Cricetulus griseus: one gene and its partners. The protein of the gene in region 2 purifies or fractionates together with the protein of the main gene of each other region. This does not show direct contact. Links are inferred from orthologs where the notes say so. Each region holds a gene or a part of one and is shown on either strand. Other genes may lie near its edges.

The links. Proteins that work in one complex are often made in the same cells at the same time.
Region 1: the proteins of Myo1c (region 2) and Baz1b purify together in Homo sapiens (affinity purification with western blotting; 3 studies listed by BioGRID, with this or other methods). This does not show direct contact. The link is inferred for Cricetulus griseus from reciprocal best matches to the Homo sapiens genes MYO1C and BAZ1B.
Region 3: the proteins of Myo1c (region 2) and Smarca5 purify together in Homo sapiens (affinity purification with western blotting; 3 studies listed by BioGRID, with this or other methods). This does not show direct contact. The link is inferred for Cricetulus griseus from reciprocal best matches to the Homo sapiens genes MYO1C and SMARCA5.
Region 4: the proteins of Myo1c (region 2) and Ddx39b purify together in Homo sapiens (affinity purification with mass spectrometry; 5 studies listed by BioGRID and IntAct, with this or other methods). This does not show direct contact. The link is inferred for Cricetulus griseus from reciprocal best matches to the Homo sapiens genes MYO1C and DDX39B.

What each region holds. Positions count from the first base shown.
Region 1 is NC_048597.1:114,267,357-114,271,470, reverse strand, and holds the start of Baz1b (tyrosine-protein kinase BAZ1B), read right to left. Parts: upstream 2,801-4,114; coding exon 2,694-2,800; intron 1-2,693. UniProt on the Homo sapiens protein: Atypical tyrosine-protein kinase that plays a central role in chromatin remodeling and acts as a transcription regulator. Involved in DNA damage response by phosphorylating 'Tyr-142' of histone H2AX (H2AXY142ph).
Region 2 is NC_048600.1:89,118,052-89,122,324, forward strand, and holds the start of Myo1c (unconventional myosin-Ic), read left to right. Parts: upstream 1-1,473; 5' UTR 1,474-1,676; coding exon 1,677-1,694; intron 1,695-2,872; coding exon 2,873-3,028; intron 3,029-3,109; coding exon 3,110-3,225; intron 3,226-3,678; coding exon 3,679-3,877; intron 3,878-3,960; coding exon 3,961-4,041; intron 4,042-4,273.
Region 3 is NC_048596.1:156,511,675-156,515,943, reverse strand, and holds the start of Smarca5 (SWI/SNF-related matrix-associated actin-dependent regulator of chromatin subfamily A member 5), read left to right. Parts: upstream 1-1,469; 5' UTR 1,470-1,879; coding exon 1,880-2,080; intron 2,081-4,269. UniProt on the Homo sapiens protein: ATPase that possesses intrinsic ATP-dependent nucleosome-remodeling activity.
Region 4 is NW_023276806.1:231,768,495-231,772,464, reverse strand, and holds the start of Ddx39b (spliceosome RNA helicase DDX39B), read right to left. Parts: upstream 2,801-3,970; 5' UTR 2,644-2,800; intron 1,978-2,643; exon of another isoform or gene 1,955-1,977; intron 1,901-1,954; exon of another isoform or gene 1,825-1,900; intron 1,487-1,824; 5' UTR 1,362-1,486; coding exon 1,151-1,361; intron 603-1,150; coding exon 475-602; intron 266-474; coding exon 173-265; intron 1-172. UniProt on the Homo sapiens protein: Involved in nuclear export of spliced and unspliced mRNA. Component of the TREX complex which is thought to couple mRNA transcription, processing and nuclear export, and specifically associates with spliced mRNA and not with unspliced pre-mRNA.

The DNA.
Region 1 (4,114 bases), on a different chromosome or scaffold from region 2:
TAGGCAAAACACTCATGCACATAAAATACATAAATCTTTAAAAAGATTAATTCAATTTAAATCAAAAGAGGAGTTGGGGCATGGTGGTACAAGACTACAATCCTAGCAACCAGAAACCCCTCACTTGGGAGGCTAAAGCAGAGTTAAAGAACTCAAGGACAACATGGGCTGTGTCACAGACACTACAGCTCAGTAGTACAGCTAGCACTTAAGTTAGCACATGCAAGGCCTTGGTTTCCATCCCTGGTATCACAATTCCTTGTTCTTCCCTTAATTTATTTACAATGACATGGCTGAAGGAGCACTAGATTGCAATCCCAACTCTCATCATTTACACTCAGAGTGCATGACCTTTAACACACCAACTTCAATTCTCTCAGGCCCACTCAGCAAGCAGACAGGAGACCTAGACACCTCTAAGACTCATTTCAGCTCAGAGACGATACGGCATACCTGATCAAAAATACCTACATGGAGGCCAGGCATCAGCAGTGTACTCCTTTAATCCCAAAACTTAGGAGGTAGAGACAGGCAGATCTATGTGAGTTTAAGGCCACTCTGGTCCACATAATGAGTTCCAGACCTGACAGGGCTATACTGTGAGAGAAAGAAAAAGAAAAAGAGAAAAAAAATAAAAAGCCTACACCGGCTATAGTCAACAGTGAGGTTAAGTGCAGAGAATCTGGGTTCAATTCCCAGCATCTACATGTCAGCTCACAATCATCTGTAACTCCAGTTCCAGTGGATCCAATCCTCTCTTTTGACCTCCCGAGAGGAACCAGAAACACAAATGGTACACAGATACACATACAGACAAAACATCCATACAGATAAAATTAAGGTGAACACTATGATTCAGAACTGATGCTAACTAAAATGAAGGTGTCCTGGCTGCTGTTGGGGTTAAGGGTTATAAGCCCAGCTTTGGGGGGGGTGATCACCTGAACCAAAAAGTTCAAAGCCAGCCTCAGTAATTTTAATGATGCCCTGACTTAAAATAAAGACAGAGGGCTATGGATGTAGGTGCAAGGCCCTAGGTGCAATCCCCCAATATGGAGGAGTGGAAGGGGAGTGAAATTATCCTAATGATTCAAAACACTACGTTAAAGCCAAGATGAAGCTGAGCAGGTGGACATCAGCAATCCCCACACTTGGGAGGTTGAGGGAGGGGAACTGGGCATTCAAGGTCAAGCTTCCAAAACATAAGTTAGAAGTCATCCCAAGCTACAAGAAAATTAAATGTGAATGAAGCAAGGGCCAAGAGTAAATTGAAATAGTTCACCAGAACCCTTTCTGATCTACAGGTACAGCAGAAATCACAACAAAGGTCTAGTCTTTTCAAAGGAAACGGGATGATAAAAGTAGCAGTACATGTAAGTTTGATACGGAAACCTTTCTTTTTTAAAAAACAAGCTGACAGGCGGTGGTGGCAGGTGGATCTCAGTGAGTTCAAGAACAGCCTGGTCTACAGGGCAAGTTCCAGGGCAGCCAGGGGTGTTAGACAGAGAAACCCTCTCTCAAAACAAAACAAAGAATAAGCCTTAAAAGATTCATCGGACATTTCCCCCACCCTGCAAAAAAGAGATACGACTTTTAATTAACAGGCTATGCTTGGTGAAGAAATCATAGCAAAGATTAGAAATGCAGAGACTTCCTAATTTAAAGCATCAGTTTCACATTCCTAAAACAAAAACGTTAAGGATGTCTCAGTATTTTTCCTACTTTTAACTGTACTGATTGATGGCACAGGCTTGTAAGGTTGACCAGGCTGAGTGAGGCAGGATTACTTCGAGCTATGCAATTGGTTCAAAGAGAGAGTGAGCATCGTAAGAAATTGTCTCAATCAATCAATCAATGAGTAAGTGAATAAATAGATTAGAAAAAGAAGGAAAGAAAGCAAGACAGCTGGAGAGGAGGGAGGAGGAAGCCGGAGGATCAGGAATGCAGGTCCAGTCTAGACTGTATACCGAGTTCGAGGCCAGTCTAATCTACACAAAGCATTCTATCAAAAAAGAAAAATGAAACTTCTAAATTTCAAACCTGTTTGTTCTCTGGAAAAGAAAAGGGCACCAGTACCATCAAGGTACCTTTCAGCTCCCTCCCACATTCAGTGGGTGAGAAGTTAATGCCAGGTTTTGTGATTTACGGTTCTGTCAGTTTATCCCTGGCCTAAAGTCCACTCCGCAGGGGAAAAACAAAACCCACAACCCTCACCGGTATGCCCGCACAGCGCAGACAAGACGCAGTGGAGGCTTGTGCAAGCCGGATCACGCGGCCGCGCCGGTACAATTTCAAAAACTTAACTTGACGGTTTCATTTATATGAGAGGAGAGAAATAAAATGCGCGTCGGAAACCCGGCTTCCCTCCCCTAGTCACTGAGGGCCCGAGGCCAAGTTGGGGAGGAGGGAATTGGAGCTGCGATCGTCACCGCGGCCCCGGGGACAAAGTAAGAGGGAAAGGATGGAGGCGCGCGGTTCCGGGAAGGACGGCTGCAGACGGCCGGGGCCGGGTGGGTTCCGGCGCGCACATCGCGGCCCGGAGAGACAGGGCCCGGGCACCGCGGCCCGCGGATGGCCCGGTGCCGTGACAGCTGCCCCGGAGCCGCGCGCGGCCCGTCCGCATCTCGCCATCCCCATCGCTCGCCCTGCGCAGCCGCGGCCGGGCGTCCACACGGCGCGGAGGAAAAGGATACTCCCGGGTGCGGAAGGCCTCCTGAGTGTGCGGGATGGTGAAGAGCGGCTCCTCTCCCGGCAGCGGCTTCACCAGCGGGAAGGGCTTGCGGCCCAGCAGCGGCGCCATCGCGGCGGCGGCGGCGGCGGCGGGGACGGAGCGCCGGAGGCTTGGCCGCTCCGCCGCGCAGAGCTAGGCCCCGGCGGCTCCGAGCGGGCGAGCGAGCAGGCGGGCGAGCAAAGCGCCTGGCTCCCGGGGCGATGGGGGAGGGGAGGGGTGAGAGGGCGGCGCGAACTCCGGCTTCCCTCAGAGCTGGCGGGACCGCGCCACGGCCATGGGAGCCAGAGGGACGACGCGAGGGGAGGAAACCGAGAGGTTCTCCTCGCTCCTTCCGGCGGCTTTCACCTCACGCCGATCTCCGCCGCGGCGGCCTCTAGTCACGACTCCTCTCTAGCGGGCACGGGAGGAAATTATTGAAAAATGGCGGGAGATTCCCTTCCTCCCCCCGCTGCCGGGCCAGCGCACACACTAACTTGCTCCTCCGTGGCGCCCTGGGACGGACGCTCCCACAGGCGGAGGGCTGGTCGCCGTTCACAGCCTATTGGCTCAGAGCGGCTGCCGCTCCGCGCCCCGGGCCCGCCCCCCGGGCCCCAGCCGTGTAGTTTGGTTGCGGCGCACTAGAGGGCAGTCTGGAGAGGTGAAAGGTCACGTTATGTAAGAGCCCGTGACTGGCGTGCCCGCCTCCAGTGGCGGACTTAAAAAGTAATGGCACAGTGAGGAAGGGGGGAGGACGAAGGTGGAGGACTCCAAGAAGTCAGAGCAGAAAGCCCTGTCACAGACACAGACATTGCGCCATCTGTCACCGACGGCGACACCGACATCCGGGCACCCACTGTCCGTGTGGCGCGCCGGAAGGGGGAGGGGGAGCGCGCGGCCAGGGGCTTTGTCTTTCCACTCGAGCTCCGCCCCCTTCTTAAAGGGGCCGTGCTCGGCCACGCCCGGGAAAACGCGGGTGGAGCTGTGCTGGGCGGGAAGTAACTGAGGCCCTCCCCAAACGTTAGGCTTTAGGGCGACTGGGAGCCCAATCTCGCTCAACCATCGATGTTGTCGCGAAACGGGTGTTAGCAGTTGGCCTGTTTCTAAGGAATTACAGGCAAGGGTAATGTAGAAGTTTCTTTTAAAATGTGTGCAAGAAGGGGCTGGAGAGATGGTTCAGCAGTTAAGAGCACTGGCTGCTCTTGCAGAGGACCCGGGTTTGATTCCCAGAACCCACATGGTAGCTCACAACTGTCTGTAACTCCAGCTCCAAGAGATCTGACACCTTCACGGTAATGCACATAAAATAAATGAGTTAAATAAATTAAAAAAAAGAAAAATTAAAGAACGTTAGTTGGGAGGGGAGGAGGGGAAGGAGTGGGAGCTAGGATTGACATGTAAAATAAT
Region 2 (4,273 bases):
CCCAAGGGCGCTCCCCCTACCCTGTCTTCACCCATTTTCCACCTGCGGCACCCATTTCCCTGGCTCGCTCCAAAGGGCCCCATTTCCCAGCTGACGCCTCCCGCCTCCCCCACCCCCGGGTTGTGGCTCAGGCTGAGCTGTTGTTCACGAAGTAATGAACCGTCTTTCCCCTCGAGGCTGCAGCCAGCACCTGTCGCAGGCTCACCTCCTCCCCAGGGAGTCCTGGTCCAAGGGGTGGGGCGCTGTGGTGCTTTGGGGTCCTTACTCTGCCTTTCCTCCCTAGGACAAGTCTGTATGTATCCTCGGTATTATATGCTTTAGGTTCTTAACATCAGACGAGAAACAGATAAGGCACTTGAGAACCCTTTGCAAGTGACAGATAGAGGCGCGCGGGGCGGGGGAGGGCTTTCCCGGCTAGACCTCTAAGCGTGTGTATAGAATGAACCTGGCTGGGAGAAAGAGGAAGAGGGTGGTGACGGCTTGGGCGGGCAACCCAACAATTCTTCTGGCAGGTTTTAAAAGCCTCATTTTAAAGAGGAACAGTCTATCTCCTAAGAAGTTATGGGACTCGCTCCTTTTTTTCCCCTTTAGATCTGAGTATGCCACAAGTGGTGGCAACTGAGCCAGAGTCCACCCTACACCTCATACAAACACCTCGGGCCTAAAAAGGGGCTGGTGCCTTCAGAGAGCCAGCTGGAAGCTGTACTGGGGAGACAGCTGATGGCCTGGGTAGAGAGAATGGGGAATCTAGAGGGACCAGAAAGGAAGAGGTAAGAGGAGCACCAGGGGCACTGAGTCACAAGAAGGATGTTCAAGATGGAGCATAAGGGTATTGGTTGCAAATGCAGGGAAGTCAGAAGGTGGCTGCCCATCCAGGAAACTCAGGCCTCTATAGGGACCATACTGCGTAAAAAGAGGGCACGCACCCTGCTGCCAACCCTGGCCCTAGGGCTTGTGTTCTTTGCTGAGCAAGAGACTTTTCGAGAGATTTTTCTCCCGAGCATACTGGCACAGGTGTGTAATCTCAGCACTCAGGAGGCTGAGACAGGAGGATCTTGAGTTCCAGGACAGCTTGGGCTATGTAGTGGGATTTAAAGAATGGAGCTGGTCCTCCCCGAGTGTGTTGTGGGGGTGGACAGTGTCCCGCACAGAGGCTCCGCCTGTCCAGGCGTGCCGGCCGTATTTGGACATTTCATTCTATTTTTAACTTTCCCGGGACTCGAGGTTGGGGGTGGGGAGGGAAATCCTGCTTCCTCGGTGACCCACGGGCTTCAGCCCTGGTCTCTCGCGGGGTGCCTGGCCCCGTGTTGTAGACACGAGCCCGGAAGTGAGTTCCGGGGCCGTGTAGACGCGGCGGCCGCGCGGGTTCCGGGCCCCACCCTGGAACTAACGACGTTCCTCCTGGAAAACCTGACTCAGGCGGAGCCCGCGGCACGCAGGAGGCCCCGCCCCTCGCGCGCCCCCTCTTAGGTCCCGCGCCCCCTCCCACCCAGCCCGGGTTAGGCCGGCTGCAGAGGGACCCCGAGGTCGAGGCTCTGAGCCCCAGAAGCCGCGGGGCCTGCGGGGAGGGGGCGGTGTGGAGGGGGGCGGGCCGGGCCGGCCCCTCCCTCGCTGACGCCGCGGCCAAGCCCCGACCAAGAACGCGGGCAGCGGAGCGGGGCGCCAGGTCGGGCAGGATGCGCTACCGGGCGTCGGTGAGCAGGGGCGCGGACGGGGTGGGGGTCCTGGGTGTCGCTCGGTAGCCTGCAGCGCCTCCTGGGCTGGCCAGGAAGCAGACGCGGCCCAGGAATTTTGGTGGAAAACGTCTCTGAAAGTTGCTAGGGTAGGAGGCCGAGGCCGAGAAGGCTACAGCACGCTCGGACCCAGGGCCATGCGCGTCGCCCCTGGTGACAAGGGGGTGGTAGCTGCAGCTGGCCGTGTTTGGTAGCAGCTTTGGGGTGGGTGGGTGAGTAGTGGGCAGGTGTAAGGGAGGCAGACCCCAGGCTCTTAGGAGTGACCTAAGAACAGAGACTTGCTCCTGGGCAACTAGGGTCAGGGGAGACTTGGTGAGCCCCCCTACTCCCAATATCTTCCTTGACCCTTAGCAACCTCTAGAACCCGCAGACCCTCTTTAAAGGGAAACCTTATCCTTGGACATGGCATGAGGGTCTAGCTATGCTTGTACCTGCCCCACCCTTGGGTGGCAGCTGGGTTTTCCCCTGTTACAACCCCCCACCTCCTGAGGCTTCTCAACCGTGGAGGAACTGTTTGGGTAGCCTAGCAGCTGGAGTGGAGGGAGTGGCTCCAGCTGAGGGAGGGCAGGCCACCCCCTTCTGGGGTGGGTGGCAAATCCAGCTGGGGTGGTGGCCCATGGAGAAACCCTCTCCTGGGAGGTGAGCTCTTGCTTGATCCCTGGGGATTTGGGGTCGGTGGGAGCAGGAGAAATGGCCTGTCCCTGTCTGCAGAATTCACTCTGAACCATTTGTCCTCCAAAGCACCTGTAATACATAGCTGAGGGATTTGAGGTCACCTGAACTAACTCACTCCTCTTCGTGAGGAGGAAGCAGTCCTGAGAAAGGAGAATTGTCCAAGGTCAACACAGCATTCTTTCTGCCATTCCTCAGAACTCCTTCTCCTGGCCCACCTTTCTCCATAAAAAAAACCACACCTCTCTGAATTCCATGCACTTGTTCAGCATCTGCTGGGTCCCTGGCGCTCCTGGAGACTTTGTGCATGCCCCATGTGCCCTGTGTGACCCAGCCATATGTCCCAAACATGTCCTGTAGCCTGTGTCCAAGTGCCTCTGCCTCCCACATCCTGCAGGCGGGGTAGGAGACGTGGCCTTGCTTTAACCTGCAGACTCTGACTTTGTCTGGTGGCTGGTTCTCCACAGGCCCTGGGCAGCGACGGGGTGCGAGTGACCATGGAGAGTGCCTTGACTGCCCGGGACCGGGTTGGGGTGCAGGACTTTGTTCTGCTGGAGAACTTCACCAGTGAGGCTGCCTTCATCGAGAACCTCCGGCGGCGATTCCGGGAGAACCTCATTTATGTGAGAGCTATGGGTGGTGCTGGGGTGAAGGAAGTACCAGGAGCCTTCAGGAAAAGCTGCTGACCCTTCTCTGTCCCCCAGACCTACATCGGCCCTGTCCTGGTCTCTGTCAACCCCTACCGAGACCTACAGATCTATAGCCGGCAGCATATGGAACGCTACCGTGGGGTCAGCTTCTATGAAGTGCCTCCTCATCTGTAAGTGTTTCTCTTACCTTTCCAGGAATGACCTCCCCTAGCATCAAGCAAGATGACCCCACCCAACCCCCACTCTGACATGATTCCTGACCCCTGCCTTGGGTGACTCACTGTTCACAGCTGTGAGGAATCCCGTGATGGTTCACCCCAGAGTTACCTCAGTTCTCAGTAGATGAGACTCTGGATCCTGTCCTCCAGGACCCTCAGGTCGCACCCATGACTTATTCCTTTAACTATTTTAACATGTTCCACCTGGCTAGCACCCCACCTGAAGTGATCCTTTCAGACCTCTATGTGAGAGTGAACCTGGCCCTATCCTCAGCTGTGCAGGTCTACCCTGTAAGGAATTCCCACCCCCCACTCCCCCCACCCCCACATTTTATAAGCATGGTCCGATCAGCTATGGGTGGGACTTCCGCACCCTGTGGACTCCCTGACAAACCTCTGCCCCAGGTTTGCAGTGGCTGATACTGTGTACCGAGCCCTTCGTACTGAGCGGCGGGACCAGGCAGTGATGATTTCTGGGGAGAGTGGGGCAGGCAAGACAGAGGCCACCAAGAGACTGCTACAGTTTTATGCAGAGACCTGTCCAGCTCCTGAGAGGGGTGGTGCAGTGCGGGACCGGCTGCTGCAGAGCAATCCTGTGCTGGAGGTGAGGGGATGGTAGCAGCATTTAAGGAGAGGGCAGGACAAGCTGAAAATGCCAGGCTTCCTCACATTCCCATCCACTCCCAGGCCTTTGGAAATGCCAAGACCCTCCGTAATGATAACTCCAGCCGGTTTGGGAAGTACATGGATGTGCAGTTTGACTTCAAGGTACCTGTGGGTGTATTGAAGCATTCGGAGGGGTTGGGTGTGCTGTTCAGTAGGTTCAGTATTTGTTGAGTATCCACTATGGGCCAGGCGCTCTTCCCGCTGCTGCTGCTCTTCCCGCTGCTGCTGCAGTGAAATCAAACAGATCTTGTCTCCTGGAGTGACAGGTGATAAGCAGAAACGCAATAATTTAGGCTTAGCAGAAAATAAGGTAAAGGTTGGAGCTGCTGCAAGT
Region 3 (4,269 bases), on a different chromosome or scaffold from region 2:
TAAGCTTTTTGCCAATAAGTATGGATTATGAGAATTATTGAATTTAATCATATAGATATGTAAGCATTGTTATATACTAGAAATATTTTGTTTCTGTTTACAAATTTTTGGAGATAAGATCTCATTTAGTCCAGACTGGTCTAGCAGCCAACTGTGGACCCCCTGTCTCCACTTCCCCAAGTGTTGGGATTCTGGGCATGCATCACCACACTGGATCAAAATGGGCTGGGGCTCAAGCCCAGGATGTTTGCAAGCAGTATGTTCTGCAAGCATCCCACCAACTGACCTACAACTGCAGCTTTCAGAAGCACTTACTTCCAGAGAGTTTTTATTAGAGAATTATTCGACTAGTTCAAACATTCGTGTTACATATGTTATTTATTCCAAGAGATTTGAAATTCAACATGTTTTAGTTAACTCTTGAAAGGACTTCATTTATTCAATATTGGTGGCCACTAAGTCATGAATGGGAAGTAGGTGGGTGACACAGGAGAGGACACAAGGCCTCAGAGCCTCCACCACAGCCTAAGCAGAAGCAACACCAATAATTTTTAGAGGCAGGGCTTCTCTGTCACCACCGCCTGGCTAAGAATTTTTTCTTTTTTAGTTTTTGAGACAAGGCCTCACTGTGTAGCCCTGACTGTCCTGGGACTCGTTCTGTACACCAGGCTGGGCTCAAACTCTCAGAGATCCACCTGCCTCTGCCTCCCAAGTGCTGGGATTAAAGGCGTGCGTTACATACTTGACAAACACTTTTTTAAAAAAATAATTTATTTAAATTCATTTTTTGTGCATTGGTGTTCATCTCCTGAAACTGGAGTTGTAGACAGTTGTGAGCTGCCATGTGGGTGCTGGGAATTAATTGAACTCAGGTTCTCTGGAAGAGCAGCCAATGCTCTTAACCACTGAGCCATCTCTCCAGCCCCCTGACAAACATTTCTTAAGCAGACAAAAACGCACATTTTTCTTTGATGCTCGTGGAAAAAATACACGCCATCGTTTGTCCCCAGCTATTGCCATTCCGGATCTCACAGGCTCGCAGTCCATAAACTCTGGAAGGGTGGGATGGCTGATGGGGCGGGCATTTTTTTCTTGGACGTCCGACGTCACTGGAGGGAACCTGTGACGTCTGGCCGTGAGCGACGGCGGCGCGACGGTGAAGGCCAGTCCCCGGGCTGTCGCGCCGCTCCCAGGCCGGCTTCTGTGGCGCGGCGAGAGCCGAAGAGCCGTTAAGAAGCGCCCAGCTCGCGTCACGCACACCTTCGCAAACCTACGCCGACGCGCTTCCTCGAGGCCCCGCCCACTCCCCCCCCCCGCAGTTCGGGGGCGGGCTGGAGGAGGCGGGGCCCAGGAGGAGCAAGCGCATGCGCTCTCGCGATCCGGCCGCTGAAGGGTGGGGGGAGGGAGAGGACTAGCGATCTCGCGAGGGTTGAGAGCGGGTGGCGTAGGCGGCTGTCCCGGTGGTTGGAGAAGAGAACCTACGCGGGGCGAGGAGAAGGCGCCCGGACGCCGCGCAGAACCTTTCGCTTTCCTTTCCCCTGCCCTCAGCCCTCGGTCTCCCCGGAGTCAGCCCGCCCTCCCTGACCTCCGTGACCCCGCTGGCCCCGCCCACCCTCGTCGACGTGATTCCCGCCGTGAAGTCAACGCCGGCGGAGTGGAGCGGAGCCGGGTCCCGCGGAAGAGGAGGTCGGGGCGAGCTCCGCGGCAGGGCCGGCTCGGGTCGGTGGCGGAGCCGCCGCGCGTGAGAACTTCCGGCCGGGGCTCGCTCCTCGGTCGGCCCGGGCGCCAGAGTCGAGCAGGCAGGCCGGCCGGCCCAGGCCGCTTCGCTTCCCTCCGCGCCGCGCCTGCCCGTGGCCGCGGCGGGTGACGCAGCCGGAACATGTCGTCGTCGTCGGCGGCCGAGCCTCCGCCGCCCCCGCCTCCCGAGAGCGCGCCTCCCAAGGCCGCGGCCGCGGGCGCCGGCGGGAGCAGCAGCAGCAGCAGCGGCGGCGGCGGCAACAAAGGCGGCCCCGAGGCCGTGGCGGCGCCTGCGGCTCCATCGTGTGCGGGGGGCGCGGGCCCCGCGGACGCCGACATGGAGGTGAGCACGGCGGGCGGGCGTGCGCGCAGGGAGGGAAGGAGGGAGGGAGATGGATGCTCGCTTGCCCGCTCGCTGGCGCTGAGTCTGCCTCCCTCACCTCTGCGTTTCCCTCCGCGTAGTAGCCTAGGCGGCTCGCCGACCGCTCTTAGGAAACACATGTTCCTGATTACCGTGGTCGAGGGACCCGGTTTCCCCCAGCGTTAGACGCCCTCAGAAGGGCTCTGTTTCCCCCGGATCTGGGTTTTAGTTTGCACTAAACTTTGGGGAAGGGCGAGGGAGCTGGCCCCTTCGCCGTGGAATTCACGGGGCGAGCGCGACGTTTGTCAGCGTCGCACGCAGCCGGGGACTTTGGGCCTCCAGTGCCCCATCCCGGTGCTGGCGGGGGCGGCATCTGTCTGTCGTGGGCAGAAACAATGGCGAGAGCTGGAGGGCCGAATGCGCAGTGGGGATGAGCGGGGCGCAGCTGCCTCTGCAGCAAGGGGAGGCCCCTCCCGAGCCCCGCTCTACCGGGAGGAGAGCGAGCGAGCGAGCCAGCGTGACAGCCGCAGCACCTGTCCCGGATCCCCATCTAATTAGGGGTTGGTGGACGGACGGATGAATGAATGAATGGGAGCATCGGGGGAGGGCGGTGGGCTACTAGCCCAGCGAATTACCTCCTGTTAAAGCCATTCAGACAATTCGCCGTTGAACCACCATCTGGGACTCGAGTGGGCCAGATGATGATGACAATGCTGGAAATGGGGGAGAGGGTGGAAAAATGGGGGAGTTGCCAGACAGGTCTCTTGGATATGCTCCCAGGCTTTGAGTTGCCTGGGAACAAAGATACTGCTTCTAGTTTTTATTCTTGGCCTTGGACTTGTTTTGTGCTGTTCTATAGTTCAGTCTGAGAATTTCTGCACTTATATTGGAATAATACTCTAAAGATGAACCTTGCTGCAGAATTTACACTATAAGGAAATGATGGTGCAGTTGCATCACTTGGATGAAATAATGTGTTGCTAGTCTTTGAAATCACTTTTAGTGTGTGTGGGGGGTGTTAGTGTAGTGCATCAATTTGAAGTGAAGTTTCATTTTAAAATGTATTTGATGCCAGGCAGTGGTGGGCACACCTTTGATCCCAGCACTCCGAAGGCAGAGGCGAGCGGATTTCTGAGTTCGAGGCCAGCCCGGTTTACAGAGTGAATTCCAGTACAGCCAGGGCTACAAAGAGAAACCCTATCTACAAAAACAAAAAATGTATTTATGCCCCTTAAATAAGATTTTAAGTGGTCTTTTGAACTTGTAGAGTTGTTTAACTGGATTGTTGGATTTCTGCTTGAAGTCTGGACACCAAAAACATTGAAGGAAATTATTTGTAAATGTACAATTCACCCCAGAGAGATGCACTTGCTTGCCTAAGCTTTGCAGATTCTGCTCTGCGGTAACTTGAGTCACACATTTCCACAATAGGTGTCATTTCTATTTACAAGTCCTAAAGAGAACTTAAAACCCAAATGAAATTAATTTTTGAGTTTCTGTCTTTCAATTAAAATTTAAATATAGGCATGAATAAGATAACACCTACGATATGAAATAAGTGGTATTTTCGTTCATCAGAGGAGAAAACTGCGTCTTCTGGATAGAGCATGTGACAGAAGTGTGATCTGTTTCCATAATAAGCCTTTTCCACACATCTTGGCCTGTCATTTTTTTAAGTTTGACGATTTTACATATTGAAAAATATCAATAGTTTGTTTTTCTCAGTCGTATTCACTCATTTTCTTTTCTATTAATGTTGTAGTTAATTTTATTGTCTTTTTAAGACTATTACCTTCAGTCTGCTTTCCACTGTGTTAGCTGAATGTAGAATTAGAATTAAGTTTGAGTTTTGGACACTTGCCTAATGTATCTGATGACCTTAAGTAGTTTTTGCAGTTAGAAAAAGAAGACACTAAATTATGAAAGTAATGTCTGCAGTTGGAAAGCACATATTATTGTAGGGTGTGCTTTACCTCTAATGTGTGCTGACAGGGATTTTGTAAGTTAAACTAGGTTGGAGGTTTTGTATTTCCTTGTAGCATTTAAATGTCAGGACGAATGCATTTTTTTTTTGTTTTGTTTTGTTTTGTTTTGTTTTTCGAGACAGGGTTTCTCTGTGTAGCTTTGAAGCCTATCTTGGCACTTGCTCTGGAGACCAGGCTGGCCTCAAA
Region 4 (3,970 bases), on a different chromosome or scaffold from region 2:
AGCCCAGGGCCCCTGAACTGACTTTGTGGATCAGAAGAGCCTGTCACTGTACTAAAGGCTCCTATGCAGCCTTCAGGAACTCATCAATTACAGCGGCTCCATGCCTCAGGACAGTCAACTGTTACCCCACAAGCTCCCAGGACCTCCGCTGTCCCAAGCGCCTCACCCTTACCTTGACATTCGGCATGTACTTTGAGAAGCGCTCGTATTCCTTGCTGATCTGAAAAGCCAACTCCCTAGTGTGACACATCACCAGCACAGACACCTTCAAGGGAACAAATGGAGACAACACCCTATCAGTCCTTTGTCACCCTCTCTCCAGAGTGACTGTCAACAGCAGCATCTGTCAAGTTATTTGTGACATCAAATCTGAGGTTTAAAACAGTAAGCCTTGCTGCTGTAAGCATTATGTAGCCACAAACAGCCTTCAGTGTATCGGCCTCAAAGCCCTCTGCAGCACTGCCTCAAACACACCTGCCCAGTGATTGGCTCCAGCTGCTGCAGTGTGGCCAGGACAAACACTGCTGTCTTCCCCATGCCTGACTTGGCCTGGCACAGGACATCCATCCCCAGAATGGCCTGTGGGATGCATTCATGCTGGACTAGAAGGAAAAAGGGGAGAAAGAGAGAGACTTTATGCACCATACCAAACCCCTTTCCTCGAGTTGATTCTCCAGATTTTGCCTGGTCCCTGTCACTTTTCAGACTGACCCATCCTCTCTGTCCCCTTAGTCACATTTACACCCAAATCAAGTCTCAACTGCATCCTAGCTTCAGGTTTCCCTGGCGCAAACCCTCTTGCACCTACCAACAGCTTACCTTCCATGTGCCTGGCATTCTATAACCTTGGACAAAATGAAGGACTTGGTACTTGCCCCAGAAGCCAGCAACTTTAGAGCAATCATTAAGACCCCAGGTGGCCTGGCCCAAAATACTGGATGTAAAACTCCAGCCAAACAGTCAGAAAGACGATCAAGCAAACAAGAAAACCTGGGCACAGGACAAACAGCATCCTGTGTGATCAAAGCTAACAAGCATCTTCTAGCGCTAACATCTGGGTACATTCTCATTGCCTGGCCTATATACCCTAAACACAAATCCCATCTTTAAGATGCATCATGAGGTCCCTATGCCCAACAATAAAATGTACCCTCTGATGGATGCTCAAAGCCACAGTCCACGATGGCCCGGAGCAACTCTGGCTTGAGCAGGAAGTCTCGAAAGCCGGAGCTGTGGATGGAGACGTAGGAGCCCTTCACGTCTTTCTTGGCAGGAGCTTCCGTCCCATCTCCACCTGCTGCTGTCTCCACCTCGTCGTCTTCATAGTCCAAGAGCTCATTGTCCACATCATTCTCTGCCATAATTGGGCCGGCAGGGGAGAAGGGAGGTCTTTGGGTGAGTGGTCCCAGAGAAGGTGAGAAAGCAAGGGGGAGAGAGGGGGCTGAGGAACAGCAAGGGAAGAGACACCAGTTTCCCGACAGAAGAGCTGGGAGAGAGAACAAAAAAAAAAAAAAAAAGAAGAGCTCATCAGTCACGTAGGGACTTCTCGCCCACCCTCACTTTCTTCGTGTTCTCCCTCAACTACAAACCTCTGCCCTGGAAGAAAAGTAAGAGAAAACGAACACCGGGCGAGAAAAAATGGAGAGTGGTCTCGGGTGTGACTGCTGGACAGACTTGGGCTCGCACTTTGACCCAAGAGGAGCAACTCCCGAGACCGTGAAAAGATGAGCCCGAAGCCACCCGCGGGAGGGTGACAATGCGTGGGACAGGAGGGGACCTCAGACTGCGCTCTCCCTGTGGCCCCACGGTGTTGGTCCCCCCAGCAGCCATCAGTCAAGGGTGATAGATGAAGGTCAGCACTGCGCGGAGCGCTCACTTCCCATTGCAAACATCACGTGGCTGCTACTTACTCCCCTGTCCAGCGGCACCTGCGTGCCGCGCTGGAGGCGCTCACCTGGGACCCCAGTCCTGGGGGAGCAGGAGCTGAAGGACGGAGGGCGGGGAGGCGGGCCCGCTGCACCTAACCGCGGGAGCAGGGGCGCCAGGGGCTCAAGGCCAAAAAGCAGGCAAACAACGCCAGAAGCCGGCAGCGCAGACAGTTACATTTTAATGCCTGCCCGGCCACGCGCGAGGCGCTCGCCACAAGGGTGGGCTTTCAAAGCCGCAGGCTCTCAGCTGGGGAAATGCAACCCTCAGGCTGGGACTTGGTGCCAAGCGGCCTTGACAGCGTCTGGCGCGCCCCAGCCTCGCTCCTCCCCGAAGGTGAGCATTCCGGGAGCGCCGACGCCGCAGCGGGCAAGCAGAGGCCCTGGCGGCTGCTCGTCCCCGCCGCGGGCCGCGCCGGGCCCGCCCTCCCGCCAGCGCCGCCTCCGGCCGCTGCGGCCCGCGCGGGAAGGGGACCCACGGGCCACCCAGGAAGCGGGGGACACAATGGCGGCCCGGGCCTCCATTTTGGATCGTCGCCCCCGTCTCCCCGCTCCCCACCGAGGTTCGCTCAGAAAGGGACGAAAACGACGGCACCGCGCGCCCGACCGAGCCGCAGCGGCCAGGCCGCCGCCCGGGCGACGGGTATCAGGGGCGCGCGCGCGGGCGCGGCGGGGCCGGAGCGGATGGCGGCGGATGGCGCGCAAGGCCCCAGCTTACCTAAGCACTGCGAGCGCGTATGGCGGCGGCGGCGGGGACGCAGGCGGGAACCTGCCTTCACTTCCGGTCCCGGGCGCTTTTCCCCCCCGGCCTGCCGCCTTCCCGGCCGCCAGGGCGCAGGCGCGCGATGCCGGAAACCGGAAGTCGGCAGCCGGAAGCCGGCGGTCCTGGAGGCTCCGGCCGCGCCCGCTCGGGGGTGCCTTCGGAAAAGGTCTTCCGACTCCGCCGCCGCCGCCGCCGGTGACCGGAGCGCGACGCGGGCTCGCACCTCCCCGCCCCCTCACCGCGGCGTCCTTCGTCCTTTCCCCGCAGGCTGCCCTCGGGCACCGCGGAGTCTGCGTGCCGAGCGGGACGCGTCCTCACGGCGCCCTTAGCCTGGCACCCAAGGTGACCTGAGGGTGCCGAGCTCAGTCAGGCTCCCGGGGCCGGGGGAGGTGGGGGGGCGGGCACGCCCTTCGCGGCTGCGCTGGGAACGAGCGGAGCTGCCCCAAATGGCGGCGGCAAGGCGGCCACTTAGGAGATGGAGGTTTGCATTCTGCCCGCGCGTTAACAAAATAAACGGTGCGTTTGAGGGCTTCGCAGCTTTCCATAGTTGTTGTCGTTATCATCGGTTTTCTCGAGACAGGGTTTCTCCGTGCGGCTTTGGAGCCTGTCCTGGCGCTCGCTCTGGAGACCAGGCTGGCCTCGAACTCACAGAGATCCGCCTGCCTCTGCCTCCCTAGTGCGGGGATTAACGCGTGCGCCACCAACGCGCGGCTCCATGGTTATTAATTAGGGCAGAGTGCTCTTAGTCCCACCACAGCGGCTCCATTGTTCAGCCTGGGCCTTCTTCCCCCTCTAAACACGTGGTTCTCCCTTCTTTGAGATGCTGCATACACGAGGAGCGATGTCCTGCCGACTATAAGCGCGAGCTTCCCCTGTTAGCACACTTTACTCAGCTGTTAAGTTGGCACCCTCGTCCGCAACCCTCAGCATCTGACAGCCGCCCCCCTCCCACCGCCTAGGAGTAGGTGGGGATTCCTCGGCCCCTGGTAAAGTAGGAAATGCTTTAGCTCCAGGGGCCTATGGCTTTGAAGTTCCCAGGAACTCTTGTAGTAAGCCAGACGGCAGGCTCTAGGCCACCTCTTTCTTCCTGTTGTTCCTAAAAGGCCAGGAAACACCCCTCGGGAGAGGCCTTTTATTGAACCTAACGTAGTAGCACTGAGGAGAGTAACATAGTGAGGTTTATCCCCGTTGAGCCCCCCAACTGAGTCAAACTTCTACTTTACAGCCTGCAAAGGATGTTTGCACCAACACAGCAAAGTCGTGCAAATCAAGGCTTGTGTTT